4 linked regions of the Alligator mississippiensis genome follow. The protein of the gene in region 2 interacts with the protein of the main gene of each other region in a biochemical or structural test. Links are inferred from orthologs where the notes say so. Each region holds a gene or a part of one and is shown on either strand. Other genes may lie near its edges. The genes, in order: MAPKAPK2, HSPB1, MAPKAPK5 and MAPKAPK3.

Evidence for each region.
Region 1: of the proteins of HSPB1 (region 2) and MAPKAPK2, one has a biochemical effect on the other in vitro, tested with the Homo sapiens proteins (17 studies listed by BioGRID and IntAct, with this or other methods). The link is inferred for Alligator mississippiensis from reciprocal best matches to the Homo sapiens genes HSPB1 and MAPKAPK2.
Region 3: of the proteins of HSPB1 (region 2) and MAPKAPK5, one has a biochemical effect on the other in vitro, tested with the Homo sapiens proteins (4 studies listed by BioGRID and IntAct). The link is inferred for Alligator mississippiensis from reciprocal best matches to the Homo sapiens genes HSPB1 and MAPKAPK5.
Region 4: of the proteins of HSPB1 (region 2) and MAPKAPK3, one has a biochemical effect on the other in vitro, tested with the Homo sapiens proteins (2 studies listed by BioGRID and IntAct). The link is inferred for Alligator mississippiensis from reciprocal best matches to the Homo sapiens genes HSPB1 and MAPKAPK3.

The regions. Positions count from the first base shown.
Region 1 is NC_081837.1:41,799,788-41,808,094, reverse strand, and holds the start of MAPKAPK2 (MAP kinase-activated protein kinase 2), read right to left. Parts: upstream 3,204-8,307; 5' UTR 3,111-3,203; coding exon 2,820-3,110; intron 1-2,819. UniProt on the Homo sapiens protein: Stress-activated serine/threonine-protein kinase involved in cytokine production, endocytosis, reorganization of the cytoskeleton, cell migration, cell cycle control, chromatin remodeling, DNA damage response and transcriptional regulation.
Region 2 is NC_081837.1:16,992,240-16,999,647, reverse strand, and holds the start of HSPB1 (heat shock protein beta-1), read left to right. Parts: upstream 1-4,289; 5' UTR 4,290-4,302; coding exon 4,303-4,702; intron 4,703-7,408. UniProt on the Homo sapiens protein: Small heat shock protein which functions as a molecular chaperone probably maintaining denatured proteins in a folding-competent state. Plays a role in stress resistance and actin organization.
Region 3 is NC_081833.1:3,714,047-3,721,203, forward strand, and holds the start of MAPKAPK5 (MAP kinase-activated protein kinase 5), read left to right. Parts: upstream 1-3,813; 5' UTR 3,814-3,930; coding exon 3,931-3,966; intron 3,967-7,157. Other genes in the region: ALDH2 (aldehyde dehydrogenase, mitochondrial), read left to right, coding at 994-1,026. UniProt on the Homo sapiens protein: Tumor suppressor serine/threonine-protein kinase involved in mTORC1 signaling and post-transcriptional regulation. Phosphorylates FOXO3, ERK3/MAPK6, ERK4/MAPK4, HSP27/HSPB1, p53/TP53 and RHEB.
Region 4 is NC_081835.1:45,274,705-45,282,177, forward strand, and holds the start of MAPKAPK3 (MAP kinase-activated protein kinase 3), read left to right. Parts: upstream 1-4,142; 5' UTR 4,143-4,342; coding exon 4,343-4,499; intron 4,500-4,543; exon of another isoform or gene 4,544-4,775; intron 4,776-5,460; exon of another isoform or gene 5,461-5,522; coding exon 5,523-5,815; intron 5,816-7,473. UniProt on the Homo sapiens protein: Stress-activated serine/threonine-protein kinase involved in cytokines production, endocytosis, cell migration, chromatin remodeling and transcriptional regulation.

The sequences.
Region 1 (8,307 bases), about 25 Mb from region 2:
TGAAGTCTCCCAAGCTCACTGGACAGGCAGCTTGTCGGACGTACTCCTCACGGCAGAAGGGACGAAGGGTAGCTTTGTCTGAGACCCTGAACTAACAGCACAGCAGATTCTCCTGTGCTAGAAGGAGTCACTTACGGGAGCAGCTGCGCTGCACTTTGAACTGACACCAACACATTCGATAGCTCAGCTAAACTCTTCTCGGTCCGGAAGGAAGAGAGGAGAATGATGGGGGTGGGGACAACGTCCCAGCAGAAACATTCCCACTTGAATCTGTCACGTTCCTTTGCCTTGCTGCTGGATCCGGCACATCTGCAGGCACTATTGCTTAGCTCACACATGGAAAGATTTGGCCCCACGTGGCCACAGCTTTCCATCTTCATACAGGTCCCAGAGGTAGTGAAACAAGGTAGGGGGTGGGATTTAAGCTGAAAGGTAAAGGCTGTGATTTATGTTCCATTTTAATGCTATTAAAACCCTGAGCTGTGAGAGGCATTTAAGCACAACCAACGAAACGCAATCGAACACACACCGTGGCCACGTGGCTGGCGGAGCAGGATAGGACAGACAAGAGCATCACAGCTCAGAGGCCCTGCTCTGAGCTTAGCCCGTATTTTGATAAGGGACAGCTGCTGACTCAAGGCATCCCTTTCCCTATGCCTCACCCTGCCGCTCTTCCTCTTTTGTTTTTTCACCCAGAAAGCGTACGAAACTGCTATTCAAACAGTTGAGTCAACTTTCAAATTGATGGAGCGAGCAAGTCTGTCAAAACAGAGGTTGATCCTACTCATTTACAGTCGAAAGGGAGGGATGGTGGGGGGAGGAAAAAGGGATTTAATGCATGTTCCTCAAGCGCAACAGTGCGGCTAATGAGAAATGTCAGCCTTTTAGACAAAAAAGTTACGCACGTGTCACTCAGCAGAATAACCCCCATTTCTTTTCCCTAAAATATTAGATCTGCAGCAGTAATTTCCCTCCCCCTTCCTCTACACATCTCAGCAGACACCGGCACCTGCACCTCCCTTCTGAAGGAGGATCCTGATTGATGGGGGATCTGCACATCAAGAAGGCTCCTCCTTTATTGTGTTGAGCTTAGCAAGCCCAGCCTTAAGCAGATGTCCTCATTTAAAGACCAGTGAAACACAGGCAATCCAGAAGCTGGCTTGGGTTGTGGGTTTGGTTTTGTTTTTTTAAATCTTCACAACGAACCAGGTAACAGAGTTTCGGAACAGCAAACGAGTGGGAGCAGATCGCGTCTAAGATGTGGAACGCTCCCCGGAGGAGACGGTTCGTACCCATCCCACCTGATGCTTAGCACTGCATTGCATGAATAAACTTTCCCAGCTTCCCCGCAGCAGAGAAACACTGTCCCCTTCTCCAAAGGCTCACTTGAGAAAAGGGAAACCATCACATTACTGTGGCCTGGTGTGTATACTTTAGCACACTATTTATATAAACACCTTTCAAGCAAAGGCATGTTACGGACTGCTATATACACACACACAGTGCCACCAAAAAGCACCCAGCTCTGGGATGGAGAAGAGGAGACATTTCGTGTCTACAACGTAACTGCTGAAGAGGATTATTAAACAAGGACAACCAGACCAACTTCTGCATTGACAGAGTCCTACCAGAGCCTGAGCGTCTGCGCACGGGAGCTGGAGTTGTACAACGTCACCCAGAAACAAGCTGGAACAAATCTTCAAGACTGGAGGCGACTTTGCCTCTCAAACTTGATACTTAGGCCCTAGAATCAACCCCTTGCCACATTATTTTGTATGGTTTTAAACCAACTCACGGCCCAGCTTTGCCCATGTTAGCGGGCAGAAGTTTAAGTGGGGGCAGACATTGCACAGCAGGGACGGAAACAGTAGCAACGCCACGCAAGAAAGCCAGAAAGTGAAACCGGCTGCCCCCATTTCGTTGTTCAGCCCAGGTACAACGCATAACAAACCCCAGCGGCACGGAGGGCAGGACGTACACTGGATCTTTTTTAAAGGGCGTTTTCATTTTGATGGAGGGGGGGCATCACAGGAGCTCTTTTGTCTCTGCAGTTTCATAGATTTGCTCATTCTACCCCGTACCGAGAGACTGCTCGTCTTCGCAACCGGCTGTATTTCCGTGTAACAAGACAGCAGACATGTTCCATCACTGCTGGGCGGTAACTGTTGCTGGTATTTCTCACATCCCCTCTCCCCCAGCCACAGGAAGGAGTGGGAGAGGGGGGGGATCTACAGGGAAAACCAGCCACCCCAGCACCAGGGAAGTCCTCCTGCCAGCTAATTCCCAAGGTGGGAGTGGAGGGTTGGGGGGGGAGGGGGGGGGGGATGACCTGTAGCAGCCGTCAGGAAGGATCCATGGCCGTGTTGCCAGAGCCACCATGGAACTGAATTCTCCACCCAGACACAGGCCAGTCCCTCCTGGCGCTGGTCACTGGAGGGCCTGCAGTGCTTCCAGGGGGGCTCCTCTCTCTCTCCCCACCCCAGCCCTTTCGGACACACCAAGCCTGGGAAAGGCTGGGAGGACCCTCACCCCACACAACCCCTCTCTCTGCCAACGCCAAGTGCTTCCTCGGATCCAAAGAAAACACGAGGCCAGCCTCGCACACAAAAGCCGGCTGGGAGGGAAGAGGGGGCAAAACCCAGCAAGGATTCTGGGGGCTTTTCCCAAGCAGGAGGAGGAGCGCCCTGCCCTGCCCTGCCCTGCCCTGCCCTGCCCGGGGGGAGACCACAGGCAAAGCCAGGGGGCAGGGTTGGGACTCCTGGGTCAGCCCCAACCCGGGGCAGGGGACAGGGGGATCCAGGACAGCTGCCCCCACCTACCTTGAGGGCGAATTTCTCCCCCGTCTTCTTGCTGAAGATCTCCAAAACTTTCCCGTTGATGCCCAAGCCCAGCACCTGCGTGGTGACCTTGTAATCGTCCGTGATGGCGTTCTTCTTGATCTGCAGGCCCGCCTTCACGTGGAACTGGGGGAACTGCTGCTGGAGCGCGGGGTGCGGCTGCGGCGGGGCCGGCGGCGGGGCCTGGGCCGGCGGCGGCTGCTGGGGGGGCGGCGGCGGCGGCGGCGGTGGGTTGGGGAACAGCGCCGGCGGGGTCGGCGTGTTGGACAGCATGGCAGCCCGGCCGGGACGGCTCCTCTCCCCGCCCCTCCGCCGGAGGAAGTTGGAGGGCAAGCGCCGGAGAGGCGCCGCGACCCGCCGGGCTCGGCAGCAAGCGGGGCAGCCCCCTCCGCGCCGGATCCGGGCGGGAGAAGCGCCTCCCCCCCCGGCCCGAGCCCCCGCCCCGCCCCGGGCCGCCGCGATCGCCGCCCGCTCCTCCGAACCCGGAGCCAGGAAAGGGAGCGCTACAATGTAGCAACCTCGCCCCCCGGGCGGGGCCGCCGCGCGACGTCACAAAGCCCCGCCGCGCCGCCATTGGCTGCCGCGCCCGCGGGGCGGGGCCGGCGACAAGGGGGTTTAGGAAGATGCAGGGGGAAGAAACAGGAGCCGGCGGCGGGAGAAGAGAAGGGCAGGGTCGGGCCTTGGTGTTGTGGGCCGGATCCTTCCTGGGAGTAAACCCAGGTCCCGGCAGGGTTGGACCAGACCTCCTGAGGGCCCTTCTTACCCTCGTTTCTGGGAGGAGAAGTTTCTGAAGCCAACCCCGGTTGGTCTGGCCTGCGGAGCTGGAAGGAAAAGAAGGAAAAAAAGTCCTCAAGAAAGAAAGTAGCCCCCATCCCCTGCCCCGCAGCAGTCCAGCCACTTCCATCCTCCCAGACCTTAGACTTACACCAGCGTCACCAAGCCTGAGGCCTTCGGGTGGTCCCCATCCTAGGAGATGAAGCGGCTGTAAGGAGATCCCCGTGGCCAGCAGACTGGGCTTCCATAGGAGAAACTAAAGGTAGCCATATCTGTTGGGTTCACTTAGGTCCTGGCAGTGCCACCAGCTTTTGTGCCGACAGGCCGCTTGTCCCCACCCAGGGAGGGCCAGGTGGTGTTAAGAGGTCATCGCTCAATTCCAGGAGTCCTCTGGCCTCTGAGAAAACAAATGGGAAAGTTGTAGAAAGAAACCTGGAAACTAGTTCCTTTTGGGAGGCAGAGAGAGAGTGGCCGGCTGGATCCCAAGGTGCCAAAACAAGGCCAAAGCAAACTTAAAATCAGAATTTATCATACTGCCACACTGCTCTGTCCAAATGCAGAGACATCGCTTTGAATGGGCGACAGCAAAAAGAAGCTGTATAGAGGGGACCCATACCCAAGCTATGCCCTCCTTGCCTTTGCTATCAACAAATGCCTCGTACAAAGCACGTCGGCCTCGTCTTGGCCTCGGTACATGGGCGGATTTTACCCCAGGTACACAAATGCCACCACTCGTTCACTCAGAGATCCCCAACGAAGGGCTGAAATCTGGAGAGTTGGCTAAGTCCGCAGGAATTGTGGGAATCCTTGAAAAATGAGTACATGTGATTAAAAATTGAGTGGCGCTTGGTACACAAAACGCCAGCAGCTCAAGGAATAGTCATTTCCCTTATGTCCCCACAAAGAAAACACAAGGCAAACGTTAAAGGTTCTTCCGCCATCTCATGCAGGCCCTTCTGCATTTCTAAGACACTTTGTTTTTAAGCAGGGAGGAGCAGGTGGGGAAGGAATGCTGCATATTTGCGCACACGCTATTACAGGGGAAGCCTTTGGTAGCTGTCGGCTCTGCTCAGCCATCAAGAACAATGCTGTTCAGTTTGTGGCCGAGTGTTTGCCAAACAAATGTAGAAAGAGCTGCCATCAGCACTGAAGATGCCTTGTTATTCCACACACTAACCTGGCAGGATGGAGGAATGAGGGTTGTGTCTTCTGTATGGAGACCAGGCCACCACAACAAGCCCCAAAATTGTTCATGTGCGAGTCAGGACAGAGGCCAGAGGTCTCGGTGTAGATGGGTCCAGTGCCCACCAACCCCTAGACAGAAAGGGGCCCCTGTGGGTCATCCTCAACCCCATCCCAAAGAGATACAGAGGGAAGGGATTTCCCTAGTTTTAATATGCTGCTTTCCCCAGGACCCCAACAGCTTTAGGAGAAAAACGTAGTCTCTCCTTAGGACAGCAAGGATGCCATAGCGGGCAAAGCACCAGTCTCCAATGGATGAGAGAGGTTGCAGGCCCCAGCTCAGCCACACACTCTTTTGCACAAAGGTCAGGTCATCTCTGCCTTGTGCCGAGAGATTACATTCAAGTCACCACCCAGGGGTGCTGGGAGGCACTCGCATGCTGCCGTGATAGAGGCCCCACACATGCTGAGATAGATCTCATCAGCCGTGTAGCATCTCTGGAGATTTTGTTGGGGTCTTTATTGCCCAGGAAGCCATCAGAGTGAAAAAGAGGAAAATCAGAAGGTATTTTGTTCTTTGATTTAAAAAAAAAAATAAAATCCATAGCGGGAGTTTGAGGCAAGGCAAGCTTCCAATCTTCCCCTGGGGAGGGCCTGTTAACAAGCGTTAAGCAGGTTTTCACTTCTTCCTAGCACCCGTAACACTCCAAACATCAATGGGTTAAGAATTGCATGTGCCCAACCGCCCTGTTTTCTGATGACTGTTTATCTATGATCAATTCCCAGGAAGACAGGGGACATGAATAATAGAGCAGGCAGATTGAGTGTCAGTGAAAGGGTAGGAGGCGAGAAACAGTTCTGCAATGAACAAAGGACATCCCAAAGATAGCAAATTAACCTGTGCTCCCTGTTCTATCCAGAATCCAATAAAGACACCAGCATGCTTCAGATGTGAACGAAGAGATAAGGAGTCATCACTGAGAGCCAATATATCACTGATCAGCCCAGCGTCCAACAAGAGGCAATGAACAGCTCTTTATCCTGGGCTAAGGTTCAGTGGAAATTTTTCCTCTGGGGACAGAAAACAGGAAGTGGCCTTGCAGTATTGGTCATTAATAATCCCTGGTTGTCTTTGTTAATTAATTTACAGAATTAAATATGGTGCTGGTCTCTGTGACACGTGATAGTGTCACTGCCACTAAGAAATTTTTCTCCCTGTGGTTGTGGTTTCCTGGGCCTCTGTACAGTGATGAATTTCAACCCGAGGCCCTGATTCAGGAAGGTGTGCAAATACTTGCCTGACTTTAAGCACATACTCAAAACCATTTTTAGGTTTCAAAATATGCCTAAGCCCCTTATTTTGAAAGTGACTGAAGCCCTTTGAACCCAAGATCTATTTTCTTCCAATGGAACTGAGGCTCCTAAGCCACTTAGGCACTTCTGAAAATTCTCCCCAATGAGATTATTCCCATGTTTGCAGGTACACACAGTCCCCAAAGCCACAGACACATAAACAGCATATCCTGGGAAACTCCTCGCTGCCCCAAGAAAAAATAGTTGCAGCTACTTGGTGGAGCCCCTTGAACCTTGACACTTGGGGATAGAGCCTAATTCACCTATAAAGGACACAACAGGCCACAGAGACTTGCCTTCTCAGCCCAGGTGTTAGGTTTAGCCCTACACATACTTCCAATCCAGGGGCTTGGGGTTTCCCCCATTTTAACATCAAGGGAAATCATGACCTTGAGAAAGTAAGGACATGAAATCATGGGGAAGATGTTACATCTGCAACATGCTGGATCTGAACTGAGCCCCAAAAGGCAACCACTTCAAACAGAAGATAGAAAAGTACACTATAACAGATGGAGCTACAGACACCACATCACGGTGGGAGAAGCTAGAACTGGTAGCTCATAAGCAGTACAATCTGTGGAAGACTTCATTTTCCATCTCTCAACCCATACCTTCCACGAACAATACATGCCTTTCAGGTTTCAAAACCACACCGATAAAATAAATCTACCAGCTTGGAAATGTATATCATGCTTTTTTAAAAGCCTGTGCTTTAAAGCTAAGTACAGACAGCCAGAAAGCCCAAGGCTGAATTGATTCAACCTTCGCAGGTCAGTCTAAACTGCATAGATTGAACCGATAAGCAAGTGAATAATTGTTCACTTTTGATTCCAGAAATGCAGCCACAGACCTGCAGTGGTTTAGGCCAGGAACCAGGGTGCACAAGAGCACACCTCCCTGCTCGGCTGAAGCAGGCAGCTTGAGCTAAGTCTAGCCCGCCTACCCTGCAAGGGTGGAGGTGCAAAGCATGCTGGGATGCTGGGGGTCTGAGAGTTAACTTGAATCTGGAGCGGATCAGGGACAGAAGTTCAATAAACCAATTTAACCTAAATCCGTTAAGTCTGATACATCCATCCAGGTTTATCTTAAACTGGTTTCATCCATTCTGAAAGTGGTTTATGTGCACTGAACTTCTGTTGCATTACAGATTTGAACTGGTTTGCAATCATTTATACCGGTTTATGTATAATATCTGTCCCTGGTAGAACAGCTTATCTTCAACTGGCTGAAGCAACAAGATGCACCAGCCACTTGAAAACGTATCATATCAGTGATGACTGCCTGAGTTGCTGTCACTCAGCTGTAGAGCTATTCCTCAGATGGAAGAATGATTAAACCCACAGCTGTCACTGGGCATGGCTACAAATAATACTGATGATAAAGAATCAATGTCTTCCAGGCTCAGGGTTTTCATCAGGAGACCATTACCCTGCTCCATTGCTGCTTAAGTGCTCACAGTACGTGACTATTCCCCTCCTGAGCAATTCCTGGACTTGCAGCATCTCACAGAACCTATGTTTCAATCAAGATTTTATCAGCCTCCATTGCCCTGATTAAGAAGGGGTCTCAGGGTGAGAGTTAAATGCCAAGGGATTCATAATGATGCATCGTAGAGGTCAAAAACTCATTAAAGCTGTTTGAGTAGTCTGGGGGTGGACGGTTGTGCAGATGCTGAGAGACAAAGTTTTGCTTTGCAGATGTATTTAGGGTCTGCCAGGAAGCTGACAGACCCACTTCCCCACCTCTGCTGCCTGCTCCAGAGTTGCACAGCACAATTATGAAGATATCATTTGGAAATGCAGGATTTGCCAGTGGAGAGACTATTAATAGGCATATTAATCATCTCCAGGCCTTGTCTAAGACCAGGCCCCATAGAGCTAGACGCTGTAAATGCATACAGGGGAGAACTCCTGCCCCACACATCCTATGGTCTGAAGAGGTTAAACACAGGGAGTGAGAAGGAGAATTGTCACCTCCATTTTACAAGCTGGAAAGCAGGACCCAGGGAGATTAAATGACTTGCCCCATGTCACACAGCCTGCAGCCAGGCCAGGAGATAAAATTCACACATCCTTTGTCCCATTGCAGTCCGTTCACCACAGGACTTTCCTTTTCCCCGCTAATCCTCCGCACCCAGCATGTGCCCTCCATCAATGGCTGT
Region 2 (7,408 bases):
CTGGGACTGGACATGCCCCCCAGACTGACTGTAAGCTGGCACCAAAGGGGCTGCTCCAAAGGAGGCCTCCGCAGATGCCAGGGAGGACATGGCAGCTGACTACAGAGCAGACCATGGGGGCACTCAGCCTCTCCCCTGTAGCCTGGGGACCATTAATGTCCCCACCCTGCCCATAGACTGGAAGGTAGCAAGTCTAATGCAGCTGTGGCTCAACACACCCTGCAGAGCCCGGCTGAAGGGCTCCTCAGAGACCTAAGACAAAGCGCAAGGTGGCTGCCCCAGCCCATCATGAAAGAGTCTGTCGGGGTGCCCATAAAGAGGCCACAGGTGCCCACTGCAAGCACAGCTGGGCTGGCAGGCCAGCTCAAACCTGTGCTGCTGGCTCAGGTGACTAGGAAGCTTTCAGGGCTGAATCTGTGGGAAGCAGAGGGAAGGAGGGGCTGGGGCAGTATGGGCAGGGAGGGCACAGAGCTGCAGTTGGAAGGAGGAAGGAGTGGCTGGAAACTGCACAGGGGCCTGGGGTTATAAATCATCCTGCCTTCACTGCGCTGAGCACTAGCTCCCAGGATGTCAAGCAGCTGCAGGGCAGCAGATGGGCTCTGACTTTGAACGAGTGTCTCCCATGTGAGAAAGGGCATCAGCTCCAGGACACAAAGATGGGTGAAGGCAAGTAACTGTGCACTGGACAGTCACTGCCAGATGGGGCACTGGATAGCAGGGGCACCTCAGCCTGTGGAGCCTAAACCAACAAACTGGGGAAGAAGGGGACCAGCTGGCACATCATGCCGTTGATGGAAAAGGCCGTGTGCAGCTCACATGGGCACAGCTCCACACTGGCAGAAAAGCACTGGCAAGGTGGGGAATAGGGCTGGCAGCCCATCGTGGGGTATAACAAGCCCTGGGCCCTGACAGCCCCCCTGAAGGCTGACTCCACCCTTCCCTGTGCACTTTAGCTCCAGGAAAGGGTCCTGTAACCCCATCTTGCTCCAGTACCTACATGGTGCTTCACTGTTGTTCCTGGCTTTCAGGAGGTCGAACGTCATCCAGCCACCCACGGCCCAAGCTGCCCTGGCCTTATCTACCCACTTCCCCCCCCTCCTCTGCTGCCACTTATCCACCAGCCGGTCCAACCCCCCAGCCCAGCCACGTGCGCATGACTCACCCACCCTTCCCTCAGCCACCCACTGAACCCTCGTGCTCACCCTCCTCCCCTTCGCTCTGCACTGCCTGACCTCAGCCCGCTTGCTAGGTTATGAGCACCTGCAGTTTCTGACGTCACCATCTGCAAACCCAGCGACCCCTACCCTGGCACACGCTGTCAGCAAGGCAGCTGCCAAAGAGAGGTTTTTTCCAGCCTGAACGAAAACAGCCACCACCGCTCAAATGCAACCCGACCAATTGCAACACGATAGGGGGGAGCGCAGCAAGGACACTTGCGGGCAGGCCTGCTGCTTTGTACCTCAACAAAGCTCTTCTCTCACCATGGGTGCCTGGTGCCACCTTAGTCAGGGGGGCACATGCCCCCCCTTTGACCAGTCCAGCCAACCGGGGCTGGAGCCACTTCTGGGAGCAGCTGCAGCAATCAGCCGGTGCCTGCAGGGGGGCACCAGTGCTCCCACCTGCTCCCTGCCCATTGCCTAAGCAACGAGCGTGGCTGGGCAGGGGGGTGCACCGGTGCTCTCAGGGGTGCATGTCCACCCCCTATGCATTGCCACTGTCTCTCACCATGACACACAAACACACACGTGTCACTTGTTCCCCTTGATCCCTCTGCAGATTGTATATAAAATGTGAAAACACAGACTCTGCTCAAGCCAGATAAAGGTCAAGCAGCCCCTGGAGAGTCCTGCTCATTTAAGCATTGGCCAACAAGCTGTGCCTTTGCATTGCATGTATGCTGCAGCAGTTTTGAGGCACCAGCTGAGACCAGTGGCCTGTTGCCCTTGAGGAGCTGGCACAGCAAGATAAAGTAACTTGGCCAAAGTCAGCTGTGGCAGAGCCTGGAGACTCCCAAGCCTGTGCCTTCACCATCAGGCATAGTCTAGCCTGCCATGCTAGAGGTGCTGGGAGAAGCTCATCCCGGAGAAAGAGAGCTACCGACCTTGCCTAGTGTTCCTCAAGGGTAAACATGAGCCTCGTCCAAGCTGCCTCTGGGGTCTGGGCAGACAGCTGTAAGAGTGTCCTCAAGGCCAAAGCCTTTCATGTCTCTGTGGTCCAGACATGGTAAGTGTATCTGAGCAGCGGCCCTGTGAGCTCTCCTAATGAACATAGATAGGGAAAGTTGGAAGGGGGTTCAGAGAAGAATTAGGAAAAGGGCCAAGAGGCCGGAGGGACTGCGGCCTGCTTGCCAAGGGCTAACCGAGAACAGCTAAAGGAGAACAGACCATCTGCTGGGAAGGGTCATTCTGGAAGATGTAGAGACCCAGGAGAGAGGAGCTGTTTATAACACAGAGTAACGGCGTTGGCATGTAACTAATAGGGGACTGAGACTGAAAGGCAGGGAAAGCTTCCCTCGGCTGGGATGGCTTGGACTGCAGCGGGTACAGAAGATGGTATGTGCACATGTGAACGATGTGCACATGAGGGGTGGTTGCAGGGGCTTCCCTGATCACTCATTCATAGGGCCACCACGTACCTCAACTCATCCGGCCAGGAAAACCCTCCAGGCACCACCTCCGAGAGGGGTCGGCCGCCCGGCAGTGGGTAGGAAACGGTGGGAACCCGCTGCTTAGCCCGGTGTGAAATGCAGGTCATTTGAACACGTCTGTGACAGACAGCCCTTCCCATTCAGTTCCTGAGCGAACTGAGAGGATGTGATAGGACAGCCAGCCAGGCTGGCAAGCGAAGCTTATCTCCGTCCACCTTGCCAAGATTTTCGAGCCTGCAGGCTGGGAGACGAGCAGCGCCGCAGCCCGGTGTGACTCAGGACCTAGAAGATTCCAGGCAGGGACACGCGGCCAAATCCTGCGCTGGCCTCAGCTGGCACGGCTCCATCCGCTCCGATGGGACGGCATCAGCTTACACCACCGGAGAGTTTGGCCAAGCATGCTGTAAGACATGCTGAGAGAACAGTTAAGAAGTGGGGATTTGGGACAACATGAGCTGGGCCACGTGACACCGGAGGATTCTGGGAGAGAAAATCGCTCCTCTCATTAGACTGATGGGCAAGGGTGGCTTATGGGCTCACGGCACTGGCCCAGCTATTACTGAAGCCAGCTGGAGCCTTACACTTCTTATCAGTTGGAGCAAAGTTAGGACAACAGTGAATGCTTTTAAAAATACCTTTCTCTATTTTAAAAGGCTTTATTTTGTGGGAATCTTTGAAGGTGATCTGAAATGAAAAAAAGAGGTCTGTGCCCTTCTTTGTGTCTGCAGGATGCACAGAGAAAGCTCAGACTCATTTGATCTTTTTCCATTTGTCTTCTCGAGCCTGTTTCTCTTGGAACGCGCAAGAAATGCCTGGAAACATGGCTGGCTTCTGGCATTAGAAATATCGTCAAAGTAACATGCCCGCGGCTCAGTGCAGGGGCACTTGGTGAAATGGAGTGGTCGATATTCGACAAAGGGTCAGACTAGGCAACTAGATAGTTGCTTCTAGTTTTAAAACTCAGAATCTGTGAATTTGAATTAAGAGGGTTAGGAAGGGTTTTTACTGCTCTGAGAGTCTAAAATTAGGGGGCTTTGCTTTTGTTAAGCCCCTTATTTAACTCAGACCCCTGAGAAACACAGGGGAGAAAAGATTTCTTTGTTAAAAATGTAACATTCTTCCCTGAAGGAAGGGCTGAGAAAGCTCATGGCACACATCCAATTCCTCCTGCTGCCAAATCAGACTCGGTGTCCCTGAGATTTGAGAGGAACAAAGAGCTGAAGGCGGAGAGACATCCATCCTGGCTTGCTCTGTCAACAGTGAAGCAGCAAATTCTCTGCCAAGACCAACGGGGGTGCCAGCGTCCCTTCCAGAAGGAATCGCCCCACCCTGCTCCTGACCCATCTTGCATTGTGCGGTGTGATCAATGCTGCTCTCAGGCTGGGGAGCTGTCCGTCTCTCCCCACCCTCTCCTTTGGACAGAGGGCAGCTGTAAGATGACAAACAGACTGGGAGTAAGTTGGCAGAGTCCAGGCCTGACTGATGTTCATCAGCAGTTACACGGTCCTGGTGTAATTTCCATTAATAGTGAGCTGAAATTCTTGGCTAAAAATAACTGGCTGCCTCTTCATAAGGGGCTGGCGGGAGGCAGCTGCTCCGTACAGACAGAGCTCGCTTTGCCGGGCTGCTGAGGTGGGACCTGCAGGAAGCCCAACATGTCGGAGCGCCGAGTGCCCTTCACCTTCCTTCGCGGCCCCAGCTGGGACCCCTTCCGGGACTGGTACCAGGGCAGCCGCCTCTTTGACCAGTCCTTCGGGATGCCTCACATCCCCGAGGACTGGTACAAGTGGCCCAGTGGCACCAGCTGGCCAGGCTACTTCCGCTTCATGCCCAGCCAAGCTGCTGCACCCATGGTCGCCGCTGCTGCCAGCCCCATCATCACCTCGCCCACTGCCACCAGCATTGACTACAGTCAGGCCCTGAGCCGCCAGCTCAGCCGTGGCATCTCGGAGATCCGGCAGACCTCAGAGAGCTGGAAGGTCACCCTAGATGTCAACCATTTTGCCCCAGAGGAGCTGGTGGTGAAGACCAAGGATGGCATTGTAGAGATCACTGGTGAGTGCTGCCTTTAGCTTCTCCTGTCTTGGGCTGGAGCACAATTGGCCTCCCATGGGAGCCTTTCTATGAACCCATTCCTCACCTTATGCCTGCTGCATGTGTAACTCAGTGGCCAGCATGAGCTACCTGTCCCCTCCCAGGCCAGATCTGTGAGGCTGTTGCAGCTCCCACCTAGCAGTGCCAGCCCTTTGGCTTGCACAGTCATAATGATCTTGTCAGCTCTAGAGACCCCCAGATCCTATCCCCAGATCTGATCACCGGCCCCAAACCTCTAGATTTCTCCCAGTTGCAGGGCAGGGGGTGCATGTTGGCAGTGCTGGCTGTCTTGTGTCATTGCAATGCTAGACCTAGAGGGAAGCTGGGGTGGCCTCACTCCAGTGCCTGCCCCTCTGCAAAGCTGGCAGCTGAGGCCTCCATTTCCCCTGGCTCCTTTCTCAGCCAGACCCCTGCCTCCTCTTCCCTTCTCCTCCTGACCTCGCTGCCTTGCTGAACTAGATAACAGCCCAGGGTGAGTTGCTCCCTCTGCTTTCAGCATGGGGGAGTTGTTGGCTCAGGTCCCTCCTTGGTGTAACTCCTGAGGGGGTTTAGTCCAAAGATGGTAGAGAAGGAAGAGCCCCACCTGCCTCAGCTCTACAAAGTCCCTGGACCTGGGAATGGAGGAAGGAGTTGATGTGGGGATCAGATCAATTATTCAATCCATTTCATTATTTTTAAAGTAGCCCTAGCAGCTTAAACCCATGGTGCAGGGCACGATACACTCGCACAGGTGAACAGCAGCTCCTGCCCCCAGAGAGCCCCCAAAGGGCAGGGGAGGGAGACTGAGGCCCAGAGCTGGACAGGGACTTGCCTAAGGTGACACAGTAGGTCAGTGGCAGAGCTAGGACTAAGACAGAAGCCATTCTCCCTGCCACAGCCACCTGCCTGCACTGTCTCCCAAGGCCCTGGAAGTCTTACCCACAACCCAGGGCTTATCCCAGGTGATGAGCAATCCAGCACCAACGGGCCTGCTGGGCAGAGCTGCCCCAGATGCAGCAGTTGTCACTTCGGGGGAATCATGTGAACACAAATCACATTCCTTCCACCCTTTCTCCCTCACCCGATCCATATCAGCGCAAGAGCTGACCAGCACATTCACAGTCCTGGATCTCATCAGAGAAATGTGGGTGAAGGAGGGAATGGTAATGAAATACCTCCCCCACCCGCAGTCCTCAACCAGTCCTACTCAGTCTCCCTTCCTCAAAGTCTAATGGAAAACTCAGTGTACAATCATCAGACTCGATGATCTGTTGAGGGTCCTTCCGACCCCAGCATCTATGAATCGATGAATCACCTGAACCCCCAACACATTCAACCAGGTTTCAACCCAACCCAAAGAAACCAACAAAGCTTTGACCTATAGCTTGGCCTGATTGCCTATGAATCGTCCCCTCCCCTACTTTGTTCAGGGACTCTTTCAAACCACAGTCTTTTTGAGCCAGATCCCCAACCAGGGTAGACAGGCAGAGCAACATCGATTTCAATAGTGCTATATCCATTTACAACCAGTGAAAAGCTGACTCTGCATTCAGGGTTTACTGGGAAGCCCAGAGGCAGGTGAGTGGCTGCACATATATATATATATATATATATTTTTGTAAAGCAGTTGCCCTGTTTTCTCATTAAATGCTCCCCTGGTGACCAGGAATGTATCTGTGGATAACAAGGAGCTGGCTGGCAGTGAGCCCATTAATTCCCTTCTGAGGGCTCCTTTTCCTTTAAAGCAATATAAGAGCACTGATCTGTCAGAGTAACCGTGAGAGCCGTCCCCTGAGTACATGCTGCACCTGAGCTGCAGCCATCAGGAGCTCTGATTAGACAGAAGATCATCAAACGTGACAGCCAGCAGTGTCATCTTTGAATTCCTGATTCAGAAGAGTGACTGCTATGAATTTTAAGCCCCTGAATTGACACAATCCGGGCCCTTCTAGACTCCATCCCACAATATGCCAGACCTAGGCAGCCACTGGAAAATCCTGCAATGGGCTCCTTTGTGATGAAACCAGTGAATGGTTGGTAGCGGGTTGCTGGAAGTTGATAGATAATGGATGACTGAAAAGAATAGCTCCGAGTCAAGTCAAACCAGGCGCCACACACAGGGGCGAATTAATGCAAGAGCCCATGGGGCCTGGGCACCAGGGGCAGCACAGCCCAGGCAGGCATCCTGGCAGCAGGCATCCGGGGCAGGCAGCGCGATGCTCCTGCCCTCAGCCAGGCCATACAGGTGCAGGTGGTGGCAGCTTACCGGGGCTGTCTGTTGCCAGGAGGCCCCACGGGCAGCCCCACTCCCATTTCTGCTCTCTGCCGTCTGCGGACAGCCACCAGCACCAGCACCAGTACCGCTGAAACAGGATGGGACAGGACATCGGGGCTGGCAGAGAGGTGGGCGGTCAGCCAAGGGCAGCACAGAGCCCATGCCCCCGCTCCCCCCAAGTCAGCTTCAGCCCAGGCCTGTCCCACAACGCTGGAGGACCACAGCCCCGGCAGTGTAACACCTGCCAGGTGGAGGGGCTGGCCCGGGTTGGAACTGGGGCCGCCTTCACCACAGTGGCACTTGCCCCCTGGCTCATCCTGAACATGCCAAGGAGGCTGGGCGGGCTCAGCCACAGCCCCCTGGAGGGCACAGAGACAACTTGCCCTCGCCAGGCAACGAAGCGCTCGGAGCAG
Region 3 (7,157 bases), on a different chromosome or scaffold from region 2:
CAGTGGGGTGAGAAATTCAAAAGGATGTGGCTTTTTATGCCTTCTCACACCACGTAAGCAGATGGAAACTGGGTCATTCTTCGTGACATCTCAAGCTTGCTCCCTTAACCTTGGATGGGAGAAAGCTTGACACTTCTGTCAGACAAGGTTCTTTGGGTGAATCTGATATCTTTTATTAGACCAACTTAAATAGCTGGAAAACAATTATTAAGCAGGCTTTCGGGTTCAAAAACCCTTCGTCAGGCTAAGGAAGTTTCAGCAGTTGGTGTGAAACTTCATTCCATCCAGGAAGTGCACACACCAACTGCTGAAACTTCCTTAGCCTGACGAAGGGTTTTTGAACCCGAAAGCCTGCTTAATAATTGTTTTCCAACTATTTAAGTTGGTCTAATAAAAGATACCAGATTCACCCAAAGAACCTTGTCTGCCCGTGTCCTTAGACCAACACGGCTACAACCTACACCCCTGGCACTTCTGTAGCACTTCATTCTTTGCAAAATGCCAGCACAAATAGTGAACAAAACTTCATGGAAGTGTGTGAAGGGAGATGGTAACTCAATGTAGATCAGTAACATAGCCAATCATAGACTCGCAAATGAAACCCAAGAGTCCTAACTCATCTGCTACCAATTCCACTGAATGCTGTAATTGAGAAACCTCTTAGAATCTATTTGTTTTAATTGAATTTAGTTGTAAATGAGGTAATGCTGAATTTTACTCAAAATATTGTGCCTCTTGAATTAACTCCTTTGAAGAAGGAATGAAGGCTGCGTGATTAATAATGTATGTTGCCTGAAAGGAGTTTTGCCTGTTGGATAGGAAGTTGAATATCAATCAGCACCTTTAATAACTGGAGCATAGTTCCTTTTCTTCCATGGTCCTTACACTTGAGCAGAACAGCAAGAGGGTAACAGCATAGACCCATAGAAGTGAACAAAATGAACCTTACGTGCTTTTGACACGAAGGAAAGTAACCCATGTTATTGTTTCCAGGTAACAATCAAAATCCCACAGAAGAACTCGTAAAGGACGTATTCACTGCAAGGTGCATTTGAAGACTCCAGTGCAACTGAAGGTTACCAGGGTAGGGAAATAGGGAAATGTTTTTTCAAAGCAAACAGAAACATAAGTACAAAAGTGAAGAGTACTAAATATAACTAAATGCTAAGATAATATTCTTGAGAAAAGGTGCCTGAGGCAGTTCTGTGTTCTTTACCTGTCTGAAACCTCAGTTGCATTTAATTTTTTTGATAACAAACACGAATCTTTTTACATTAACGGGTGACACGTTTAGGTAATTTCTTGTTGCATTCGTATCTGAAGTCTCTAATGTGGGTTGTTTTTCTTTTTAATGTTAAAAACATCATTTGGACACATTGTGAAAACTACAGTTCCTCAAAATCAGCTAATTAAAAGCTTACTGTTGGCTGGGTGGATGATTGTGTTTTTTTTAAATAATAAATCTCTCTGCCAAATTTCAGTCTACCACGAGGCACTGATTTATGTCAGCATTGCGAGCAGGATTTGGGTCCTATAAGCAGCCAAGATTGATTGTGTAATACTGGCTTCTGATATTCTGGGAGTACATATGGCTTCAGATTTTCAAAATGTAAAATACTAGGAATCTTGAAGCATAAACCTTTTTGCCACCTTGAAACAGTCATTTGAAATCTGCCTGCATTACATATAGCTTTCATAATAAACATGCTTGTCCTGTTCAGCCTGTTCTACTTGATAAAGCTGATCCTGAATTATGGCTGAATATTTCATGGATGCTGGTGTGTTTAAACATTGCTTGATTTAAACAGCATGGAGATGTTATTTATTTTTTCAAAAGACATTGGCATAATTCTTCACATTGGCATGAAGTCCACGGAAACCAAAGCTGAGGCCTGACTCAGTGCTGCGAGGTTTTCTTGGAAGTTCTTCACCCTCGGTATTAATCTTCAAACAAAGCTAAAGAGTTGAGAAGTAGGAGGGATGATGGGGAAATACTTCTGTCAGTTGAAGGTACTCGACTGACATCTACAGGCCACTAAGTCGTCCTAACATGCGATGGGGCTTTGCCGTGATGGTGACGGTCTCTGCATCTGTTTATTAAGCGATCAGGAGACGCAGCCCCTTCTTTACACAACGCAGCTACCGGCTCGATGAAAGCGGTGACCTAAGAACTGCTTGATTTACCGGTTATTTGATCAACCATGCTGCGATAGAGAAGCAAGAGCCCAGAGGGAGGGTGCTGGCCAGCACTGGTCCAAAAAAATGTAAATGTACTTTAAAAACAGGGTGTCTTAACAGTGCAGCATCCAAGTTCAAGTAGAGGGTGATTTGTTATTGAAAAGGGAGCCAGTTAAGATTTCCAGTTGCACCTCTGCACGGGTCCTGAAGAGGATAACTTTCATGCGCTCCCCGTTAACTCGCACCCAGCAAGGGCCAGATCGCACGGGTCTGAGGCGTTTCCTGATGCCGACTGGAAGAACTGCCCCCAGCGGCCCCGGGGCCTGACCCGCGAGGGGCAAAGCCAGCGCCCCTCAACCGTCTCGGACTCGCGCTTTAGGTGGGTCTCGGAAACTGCCAGCTCTTTCTTTTCAGGATGGAAAATAAGACGGCGGGCTTTCTGTTGCCAAGTTAAGGAAGACCACAAAGTCAGAATTATTTTTAACACTAGGCATCGCTTGCAGCCTCTGGGTTGATCTTGCCAGTCATGCCTGCACACCCAGCGGGGCGCCCGAGAGCACGGCCGGGCACGCCTGGGCGCCAGGGTGAGACTCGCTCGTCCGCCGGCCCCCGCAGGAGCCATTGACCCCTCGTTTTTGGAGGCAGGAGACGAGGCTGTGGGGGCAGAGCGCGGGCCCAGCGCCCTGAGGCACGAGGGGGCCTGAGCCTGGCCTAGCCCCCACCACCTCGCGACTACGAGGCACCAGCTCTTTCCCTGTCTTTTTTTTTTTATTATTATTTAATATAATAATATTAATTATTCCCCAGTGAGGCATTTTTCTATCATTATTATTTAATATAATATTAATTATTCCCCACTAAGTCTTTTTTATTTTTATTATTTAATATTCCTCACTGAGGCATCTTTTCCATTATTATTTAATAATATTATTCCCCCACTGAGGCATCTTTTCTATATTATTTAACATAATAATAATAAAAGCAACTCAGTGGGGAATAATAGTATTACTATAAAAATATTAGTTATGCCCCACTGAGGAGTCTTTTTTACTATTATTTAATATTAAAATATTAATTATTCTCCAGTGAGGAGTCTTTTTTTTAATAATTATTATTTAGCATAATAATATTAATTATTCCCTAGTAAGGAGTGTTTTGAATGTGATTATTATTTACTACAACAATATTCACGATGCTATTAACAAACCTACCCATCCCTCACAAAATGGCGAAGAGAACGCTGCGCGCGCTGCTTTTATAGCCCTCATATCTCGCGAGACTTCGGGGCCTCACCAACCTGCTCGGTGACGTTTCCATCTGAGGGGCGAGGCGATGGTCGCCAGTGCGCGGTGACGTCACAAGAAAGGGCCCGGCGGTTGCAAGGCCCCCGGTGGGTGGGGGTCTTTAGGCCCCTGCGGTCGCTTTGTCAGAGGAGGCTAAGCGAGTGCCTGTCAAGCGCTCCGCCGCGTCGGAGGGGGCTCCTAAAATCCGGGGAGCGGCGCGGGGGGGCAGCGCTCGGGCCGCGCGCCCGCGCCAGGGCTGTGCCGGCGGCGCTCGGGGGGGCTCGGGGCGCCGCGCGGCCCGGCGGGGCTGCCCCGCCTCGCCTCGCCATCGCCGGCAATGCCCGGCTCCCAGGCGGCCGCGGCGTCTCGGCGGCTTCCGGGCGGAGCGCGGCCGCGGCCCGGCCGGGCGGCATGAGGCGGGCTCCGCCGGGGCTGCCCGTCGCCTAGCGCGGCCCGGGCCCGCGGGGCCATGTCGGACGAGCGCAACATGGAGCGGACGATCAAGGTAGGCGGCAGCGGCGCCCTCATGGACTCGCGCCCTAGGGAGGGACGGGACGGGACGGGACGGGACCTGGTTGTGTCGGCCCCGCGGCTGGACGCGGCCTGGCTTCGTGGGCATGGGGGCTGGCCGGGACCTGGGTTTGTAGGCATGGGGGCTGGATTGCATCTGGTTTTTGTAGACATGGGGGCTGGACGGGACCTGGCGAGATCATCGGTCCGGCCCGACCGTAGCAGAAGTTGACACGTTTCCCGACGCCTGGGCCCGTCCTCGCGGGAACGAGTCTGTGCGCGCGGAAAAGAGGTCTGCGCCGTTGTGTTGCGTGTCTTCGGTCTGACCGCGGCGCGGTTGTGCCCGAGGGGAAGAGAAGGTGGGACTTACCTTGGGCTGCAAGGTGAACGGAAAAATATACCGCTCGCACGGGTCTGGTGGAGGAGGATCCTTCACCTCACGGTGACGCGACTATGAACGAACGCTCGGGCTGATTTTTAAGACGGTGAGGAAATATAAAATCCCTCCAGTCGTAGCGGTAAAACACTTTCAAGAGGAAACTGCATCGCTTTGGATAAAGCACGTGCACGCTCTTCAGCGTGACTTCTCCTCCCAGTCGCGTCACGAGGTCTGTGCCTTGCAGCACTTTTAGTCCGAGTTACTTTCTTCCGGCCTTTGCTACCTGAATTTACAAGGGATTGACTTAAATCAGGAAAGACGAAGCCTCGATTTAAATCTCTCGTTAGTTTTGCTCGCGTTTGTACGTTTCAGTTTTTCTTCCACCTGCGCTAGTCAGACTCTCTTTAAGACGTTGATTTTTGCAGATAAATGGAACCTTTATCCTAAGATTTCAACGCTGCTTTTTTGCTAACCAAGTGGACATAATAGACATAAACAGCTTAACGTACGCTTACCGGGGTCCTTAATGTTTACACTTTAGTATATTAGGAAATGAGTGTCTCATTGGCCAGGGGTGGAGGTTGTAGCCGTGTTTGTCTGCCTATGTCCTTAGACCAGGTTCCTTGGGTGAATCTGATATCTTTTATTAGACCAACCCAAATAGTTGGAGAGTAGTTATTGGCCAGTTACGTGACGTTTTGTTTACTCCTGCTTTGTCAAGCCGATCTTATGGAAACTGGACTTCAACTACAAATGCAGAAAAGCAGCATTTGAACAATTATTATTACTTAAATAAAAACCTATTAAATGTGCTGGGTGCAGAAGGAAAATAAAGCCAGTATGTTAGATTTAGAGCTGCCTGATTTATTAATGAAAGGAAGTATTATTTGTAGTCAGTGAATTGGGCTGATTGTTTCTGGTGGCCACGTCCTTCAAGATTTTAGTAACAGATCTCAGCCTATCGTACCTTGTTTTTATTCATGGAGTGCGTTGTGGGGGAAACAAGCTTTCCTGCTCTTTCAACTCTCAGTTTCTTAAACTTGGATGAACCAGTCATTGGACCGAACCGATCTGAAAGAGGCCGAATGTTTTCTCTGCGGCCGCAGAAGGCGCTCCAGCTGTCAAACGCTGTTTCTCTCTTTGCCAAACCCTGGTTCTAGGTGCTTAGCCAATGACTTTCCAGACGACCTGCCAACATGCACGTGCTGCTTGAATACTGCTGTTGGGTCATATGAATTATTTTTATAGAGTTTTAGTAAGTGTAGTCCTCGGAGTAGGTTGTCCTAAGTTCGGATTCACTTTACGTGGAAAAAAATATATATATTGAAGTTAAAAAACAAAAAACCAAAAAAACCCCTCTGTGCCTTTATCTGTTCTTTGGACAAAGCTTCAAGTTTCCGGTGTCTGTTAGTGTCTGTGGGTTGGGACTGCATAGGAACAGTGGATCTCATCACACTATACCTTCTTCTTGGTGCGTTCCTAGCCAAAAGACCGGGCTTTTTTAAGATTGTATTTTCCTTTTACCTGTCGCTCACTCTACTCCCTGTAGCAAAATGACAGAGTATAGACTAAAACATACACCAAGGCAATCCTGCCTTGAGAAGGGTGTTGGACTGGATGACCTCCTGAGGTCCCTTCCAGCCCTACTCTATGATACTCTGATCTGCTCCTTAACATGTCTTTCCAAGATTGCTGGAATTGCTGTTAGCTCTAATCAGTTTAATTAAAGTAATGTTAAGGACTCCAAATGTATGAGCTCTAGCCCTTTCCAAAACCTGCCTTCAAGAACATCTTTTCTGGGGGCTTCCTGTCAACATTAATGCTCCAGCTGCAATAAATGTTTTTGTCTCATTTAAATAAAATCCACATAATTTGAGCTTGCAGCATGTCAGTAATGCATCGGGACACTATCATCTGCCTCATATAAAGATCGTGTGTTTCATGGTATAAGGTGTGACCTCTCCGATTGTGCTAGTTCCCACTGTTTAGTGACGCATTTATCGTGCACGGAGTTGAAATGTGGTAACTGGAAAACGGTTGTTTCAGACCTTGTAGGGTAGGGAAACCGATGGGTAGAACAGAGCGTGGATTGGGATTGGCCACTTTTCTGTTTCTATGCACATCAGAAGTCCAGATCTAAATACAGTCACTTGGCAGGTGGTTTATTTCTGTCTCTGCACAGCCTTTTAAAAGTCGTCTTCTCCTGTTTTCTCCCCTGTTGACTTCTGTTGCGTCCTTGTTTCTCTTGACAGATTAGAACATTTGGCCCCGTTCTTTAGTTTTTATTGACTTTCTTATGGAAAGATGTTCAGGATCAGGACCAGTTTAAGATGTTTTTCTTGGGAACTGTATTAACATACAGCACCTGTATTCTTCTATGCTCTTTTTCCTTGGAGTTTTAGATCGCTAACTCTAACGGCAAAGGGCACAAGTATTAATCTAGGCTCTGTCTTTAATAAGGCCGAACGTATTTTCAGCATCTCGGCGCCATCATGGCATGCTTGTATGAACAGAATTGAGCTGTTGTGATTTTGGTCCCTTGCCAGACAATATCAAACTAGTTTATGCCACTGGGCCCTGCTGTGTTGAATGTTCAGTACAGTGATTCCATCACCTGCCACCCCTGTTCTCTATGAAGGTGCTCACGTGGTTTATGCATGTTCTTCATGGTAGCTGGCTAATCTTTTTTATATAATATTATTTATCTATATGTTAGGCAGCTAATAGTTGTGTGTGTAGAGTTTTCCTAGGAAATCTAGAAACGGAGCACTCCCGTTTCTCCCAGATTAGGTCTGCTGAGACGCATT
Region 4 (7,473 bases), on a different chromosome or scaffold from region 2:
GGTTTTTTTCTGATGTGGAGAGGAGGTTCATACATAGAAAATAATTGTTTTAACAGAACATTTTATTTGCTTTATAGTAAACTCCATGAAGCACATTCTCTTCCACCTGCTAGGCACATAACTGGATTTAGGAGCTTAAGTGTAACTGTTTGAGTCCCTGAAAAACAGTTCATATGAAAGGTCAGTGGGTCCTCCTCCTCACGGTTTTTTTTTAACTTAATCTTAAGGGCCAGGTGGGGATATATTACAAAAGTAGATGCAAGATGAATTTGCATGGACTTGAAAACAGTGGAATAAAATTGCACTTAGGTGCCTGAGTCTACTTACATGCTTAATAGGTGGAATAGAATTTATATAGGAGGGCCTGAATTTGACCAGCTGGAAGTAAATAATTTAGGCCTCCATAAGAAGGGACTCTGCACACAATGACAAGCACACCTTTGAAATGGTAAATAACCTACGCATCAACATTAGCCAAACATTTTCTTAGAGGAAAAGCTGTCAGATAGGTAGGGTGTTACTAATTTTCTCTTCCTTTTCCCCTTTTTATATAATAGGGATAATAGTACTACTCTTAAAGATAAGGTGCTCAGTGCTCCAGTAAAGGAGATCATATAAGCATGTTAGATAGACAGCAAGAGGAAGACATGTTGGAACAGACATGGGCCTAATCCTTCTGACTATCCAAACAATTGTCAGTGCTTCAGGAAGATATATAAACACTACCATGCATGCATCCAGTGTTGCTACAGTCATTTGTAAAGAATTCTTACTAACTAACAGGGTAGTTTGTAGTCTCTCAGGACACTGGAGCTAGCAGTTGGAAATACCCCCGAGCCCTTCAAACATAAGTGTTCCACAGGAGAATCAGCAGTCAAGCTGGAAGTGGAAGCCTGATATTATAGTCAGGTCATTGTAATGTTCAGTAGGGGGAGAAAACATAGCCCAGCATGACAGGTGCTAGCTTGGAATCTGGGAGATCCAGGTTCTGTGCTCTGCCCTGCCAGTGACATTCTATGTGACTGCGAGCAAGGCACTTCCTCTCCCTCTGTGGGATCCATAAAGGAAGTGTTTGTTGCAGGTTCTGCCAGATTACCAGTAAGTGCAGCCTGCTTTTCCTCCAACACCACTGACATCAATGTAACACTGAAACGAGAATTGGTGGGACTATTAGATGATTAAGATGTAAAAGATGCATTTGTGGATAGCAAAGCCATAGCAGAGAAACGAAACAAATGCTTTGCATTAGTGTTTTACAAAGAAGACCCTGTGGAAATCCCCATGTGCCACATCTATCCTTTCTAGTAGATGGGTCTGAAGAGCTGGACCATATTAAAGTAACAACAGAGGAAGCTTTAGAATGAACCAATAAACTAAATACTAATAAGTCCCCAGGACCGGATGGCATTCACCTGTGAGTTCTGAAGGAATCCAAGGTGAAATTGCAGAACTGCTGGCAATAGTCTGTGATCTATCATTACAAACAGCCTCTGTGCCAGAGGACTGGTAGGCTGCTAGTATAACATCCATCTTCAAAGTAGGCTCCTGAGCTGATACTGGAAACTACAGACCAATGAGTCTCGCTTCCTTCTCTGTCAAGTTGGTAGAATCTGTAATTAAAAATAAAATCAGCAGTCACAAATATGATCTGTTGGGGAAGAGACATGGTTTTGAAAAAGGGAAATCCTGCCTCATAAACCTGCCGGAGTTCTTTGAGGATGTTAACAAGCATGTGGACAAGGGGGATCCAGTTGATACAATACCTTTGGACATTCAAAGAGCATTTGACAAGGTCCCTCAAAGGCTTTTGAAAAAACTGTGTTGACATGGGATTGGAGAAAAGGTTCTTTTGTGGAGTGAGAGCTGGGTACCAGGTAGGAAGCAAAGGATAGGGCTAAATGGTCACTTTCAGAATGGAGGAAGGTCAAAAGTGGAGCCCTACAAGGATCTCTGCCAGGCCCAATTTTATTCAATATTTCCATTAGTGACCTGATAATGGCGATGCAATATCCAAGTTTGCAGATTATACTATATTATTCTGGGTAGGTACAGAGAAGGGCAGCCAAAATGATCAGGAGCCTGGAACAGTTGCCATACCAGGAGAGACTAAAAAAGCTAGGACCTTTCATTTTGGAAAGGAGAAGGCTAAGAGGGATATGATAGCTATAAAATAATGAAGGGTGACAAACAAGTGAACAGGGAGCTGTTTATTCACCAAGTCCCAGAATATTACAAGTAGGAGGAACCTGCTTAAATTAGGAGACAGGTTTAAAACAAACAAGAGAAAATATTTTTTTATGCAACACATTGCATAAAAAATTGTCACAGGAGGTGGTAGATGGCATAGCCAGGTTAAAAAGAGGACTAGATACATTCCTGGAGGATAGTTTTTCATTATTAACTTCAGTATCTTTTACTCAGTGCTCCTCGAATTCTTTTTTTGCCCTGCCTTATTTTGGTTTTACACTTTAACTTGCCAGAGTTTGTGAACTTTACTGTTTTTCTCATTTGGGCATACCTTCCATTTTTTTTAGGATTTTTTTTTTTGCCTTGAATGTCCTTTACTGTTAAACCAGGCAGCAGTTTTACTGGTCTGCTCCGTACCCTTTTAGATTTGTGGTATACACTTTTCCTGCGTGTCTAATATGGTATTTTTAAACAGCTTCCAAGCTACCTGCAGGCTTTTTACATTTTTGACTGCTCCTTGAAACTTCTTTCTAACTTCCTCATTTTTGTGTAATTTCTCTTTCTGAAGTTGTATATTACCTTGGTGGACTTTTTGGCTTACTTCCTCTCGCCAGAATGTTGAATGTAATTATGCTGTAGTTACTATTACAGTGTTTCACCACCTCTTGAACCAGACCATGGCTGTTAGTTAGGATTAGGTCTAGAATTGCTTCTCTTCCTGTGGGGTCCAAGATGAGTTGTTCTAGGAAGAACATCCAGAAATTTTATTTCTATACCTTCCCCCAATGAGGTGTTTACCCAGTCTGCATGAGGATACTTGATGTCTCCCATTACTACTGGTTGTCCCATTTTGGACAGAAGGGAGTCCAAGGGCAGGAAAAAGCCCTAAGGAGAAGTAGGGCACCCTGTGACTACAGAAGGGCAGACAGACCTATTATTATGGGTTTATGAAAATGGGTAGGGGTAGGCTTCTCTTATGTCACTACCCTGGGAAATGCTGCAAAGACATCTGCTGTTGAGAAAGAAGAGACCAACCACAGGCTACTAGGCCTAGAAGGAAGTTGATCCTGGGAAGAGAAAGATAAAGACAGTTTTGTGCCCAGCTGTGGTCCAAAATTGGTGTTTTCCTCTGGAGTCTGACAATCCCAGAAGGGACCGGCTTAATCAGAGACCAAGTAGTCTGAGTAACTGAACTGTGCTGAAGGCCACCAGACTCGCTGAAAAAGTAAGATAACTCAAGGCTGGGATGGCTGTAGTGCCATACATATGAAGGCATGCTCCAGGCTTTCACCCTGCTCTGCTAACCCCATTTTAATTCCTGATAAAAGAGGACTCATTAGTCCTAGTAATTGTTTTCCTAACTCCCAGCACTGCAGATGGCATTACTTCTGTAAAATGTCAGATCTATTTTTAAGCCTTCAAACACGTATACCTGGGGAACCTAGCATGGAAACAGATACAGCTGTTTCAGTATGTGACTAATCTTGCCATACGAAAAACTCAGCATTTCACATCTGCGCAACAGCCCTCTGTGCACCGGCGCCGAGTGACAGGCGCTGTGGGAACCATCGCTTCTAATATCCCGGCTGAGCAGTCAGATGTGCACCCAGGCCTTAACTGCCTATTCCGGGGGAGGGCGGGAAGGACCGACCGCAGGTACTATCAACCTCGGGTAGTCCAGTAGCCGCTGAGCTGTCAGAGGGAGCGCTCGCAAAACGGCCTCAACTTCCCTCGGTAGAAATGAAGAGCTTGTTCTCTAGACTGCAGCACCAATCCTTTCACGAGTTTAAAATCCCGGGACGACTTAAACAGGACACGGCCCTGGAGGAGGCTGAAGTGCCCGGCCCGGCTGCGGTCCTCGTTGTGCGGCTGCAGCTCGGTCCTGCCACTAGAGGCCGCCCGCGGCTCAGCGCGGAGCCCGCCGCCGTCTGCGGCTGCCGCTTTGTGTAGCGCGGCGCCGGGCGGCACTCGTGCCCGGGTCAGCCCGGCTCTCGGGAGCCCCCCTCACCCACCCGCTCGCTCGTGCCCCGCGGGGTCGCCGCTGAACGCCCACCCAGCGGCTCGGGGGAAAAAAGCCCTTCCCCACGCCCCGTCCCCGTCCCGGGCAGCCGCGAGGGCCACGTGCCTCCGCCGCGGGCCCGGGCCGGGCAGTCACATGAGCGGAGCCCCGGGCCCAGCGCGGGAGGCGGCCGCGGGACTCACCTGGGGGCGGGCGGGCAGCGGGGCGGCTCCCGGGCACCTCCCGCCTGAGCCGGGGCCTCCGCGCGGGACGGCTCGGCTCGGCTCGGCTCGGCACAGCGCGGCGCAGCCAGGTAACCCCGCCCGCCCACGGCCCCTTCCTGCCCCGGGACACCCGCGGCCTCCCGCTCTGCTTCTCGAAGCCTGCCCCTCGGCCCGGCCCGGCCCGGCCCGGCGCTGGACTGGCCACAGCCGCCTTGCCGCGGGCCGAGCTGCCGTCTGGTGGCTGCGCAGCCCCGGGGCCGCGAGGCCCCTGCCCCTCCCTCGCACCGGGCCGGCAGGGAACTGCACCCAGGGGTTTCCTTCAGCTTCTCCCACCCGCTGCGGAAGTGCCCAGGCAGACCCCTAAGGTGGGTGATTAAACGTCAGGGCGTGCCTCCCCTGCCACGGGTGGGCGACCCATCACCTGGGGCCTTCCTCGTCCCAGCAGGTTGTCCCTCAGGACAGCACCTGGCACCAGAGCAGGGGACTTTCTGCTGTGCCCTGGATGGGCAGGTAGCCCTTATTAGTGGAGCCGCTCTTCCTCCAGCCCGTGCATCAGGCAGGCTAGGTAACCTCTTCCCTGGGGTTAGGTCCTCCTCCTGTCCCTGGCCCCAGTGCTGAGTCTGTGCACCAGGTACTTCTTTCAGTCCAGGGCTTGTTAAGGCCTAGACTTCATTGAGCAACATCAGGCTTTGGAGTCACTGCAAGCCTGATATTCAGAGCAATGTTCAATAATAGTGACTGCAAGCACTTTGAAGCAAGGACTATTATTTTCTGTGTTTGTATAGTTCACAACACCTAGGGGTCGTGGCCCACACAGTCTTCCAGGCAGTACTGGAGCACAGACACTGGGTAATAACAACAGACTGTCACTTGCGTACAGATTCAAGGCAAATTGTTCACATACTTTAGTAGGTAGGACCCACTTTTTTGTCTTTCTGAAGCTGGTCTTGCCACACATGAAATATGAGAAGGTGGGGAGGGGGATGCTTGTGACAGTAGAATTTAATTGCCCCAAGTATGTTTCTAAGATTCATTTACATTTTTATTCAGGGCAGTTTTGAGTGAATTTCCAACAAATGGACTCTTTGCACTTGCCTTGATCTGCTGAACAGGGAGGACCTTATTGAAGATAAACTGGGGATCTGGTGACTACTTCCATTACCTCCACTTTCTCCCTGACATGGAACAAAGTGAGGGCAAGCAGGAGCCCCAGCCAGAAGGTCATGTGGACAGCAAAAGCAATGTGAAACCCATGCCTGGGGGAGCTGCCCATGTCAGGCTAGAAATAAAAAAACACGCAGTTACGGATGACTACAAACTCTCCAAACGGGTGCTAGGCTTGGGCATTAATGGCAAAGTAATGGAGTGTTTTAACAAGGTGACAGGGCAGAAATGTGCTTTAAAGGTATGTGGGCTATTTTTTACCTTTTAGATGATTTTGAGGCCAAAGTTCCTTTTTTTAAAGTCCTATAAAAGCCATCTTGTCTATTGATGCATTCCCCAGGTGTACTGGAATTCTTGAACATGTGAATGTTTACTGTTAGTGAGAGCAGAGCTCATTAGCTGCATTTTGGTTCAATCCCAAGAGCTTTTTTTCAGACTGTTCCTGAGTGAAGTTCTATAACCACTTTCAATTGTAAAATTGTTCTGCTTTTTTTTTTGCCTGGACTAAAAAAAACCTTCCTCTGTAAGTTAGCCAGCATTTCAAATATGGATACTCTACAGTGGGCAAACATGAAACTATTTCAGAATTGTATGCAGTATAATAGTCTCATCAGGAAGTTTTTAATGTATTGGGATATGTCTCAAATTGCTTTTTTTTTTAAAAGCATACCAAAAAAAGAGCACCTAAAGGCAATCTGGATCCTGGGTTTGGGGAGTTGAAAAGATGACGAAAGGTAGGTCTTAACAAATGCTTAAGAGAGGTTTTTGGGGTTTTTTTCCCCCTTTTTTCTTTCAACTATTAGTTTAGGTAGTTTTTCTGGCAGTTAATAGGAACTTCAGGGTATAGGAGTGAATCCTCCTGTACTTCCATAAGGGTAGAACCTATTAAAACAGGTTCCATGTATCAGATCACAACAAATGCATTTACCCCCTTGCCCAAGGTGAGCACAGTTTGGTGACAAGAAGCCTTTAAATGAACAAGGAAAAACTTGCTTGCAACCATTGGGCTGATCAACCAGTTTCTGCATTATTTAAGCTTTTCAAATTAAGGTTTTAGGTCTAACAGTGGCAAAGTTAATCTTTCAAATGTGAGCCAGTACAGACCTGTCTTGCTGAGTCTGTAAGCAGTTTGAAACACTAGTCATGTGAACTGCCTTGGGGCTCAGTACTACTATACTCCTACCTGAAGTATAACTAGAATGTCTAGAAAATGTCAACCACACTTTTCCTTCCCCAGCCCTATATCCTGCATGTATTGGCAAAGTAAGAAAAATCTGTTAGTAATTGACTGCATGACCTGTCAAAGTATAGACAAGGTCTCATCTGTAGCCAGCTGGACCAGAATTCTACATCAGGTTTCATGCATTCTTCAGTCCTCTGATATGGCAGACTAGAAGTATTCAGCAGCTTGATTTATTGAAAAGGTGGCTTAATGGATTAAATGTGAAAAGACATAATACAATCAGTGCTGAAATGTGACGGTAAAATAACATGGAAACAAATTTGCACAGTCCCACGTCTTCAGTTGTTTTTATCACACCAATTTCTATACCGATAATGCATAGCTGACTTCCGGAAGTTTGAAAGGATGGGGCTAGAGATATTGGCAAGTTGATGTGGGAGTATTGGGACTTCTGACGTGCAGATAGGTGTGGGAAGCAGTTTGGGACTGAGAGAGAAATATCCAGTCAGCAGTGAGTCAGTCCATGGTAATAACATGTCAATCTAATTTTTAGACTTTGTCCATTAAAATGAACATTTAACTTTCAGAGCTGTTTCAGTGTGTCTGCATTCTGCAGCAGGCCTAACTGAATTGCTTTACACTTGGTTAATAGTCTCAAGGTTTTCTATGCAGTCATGAGAAAGACTTGTATTTAAAATTTCCTCTATTGTAAAGTA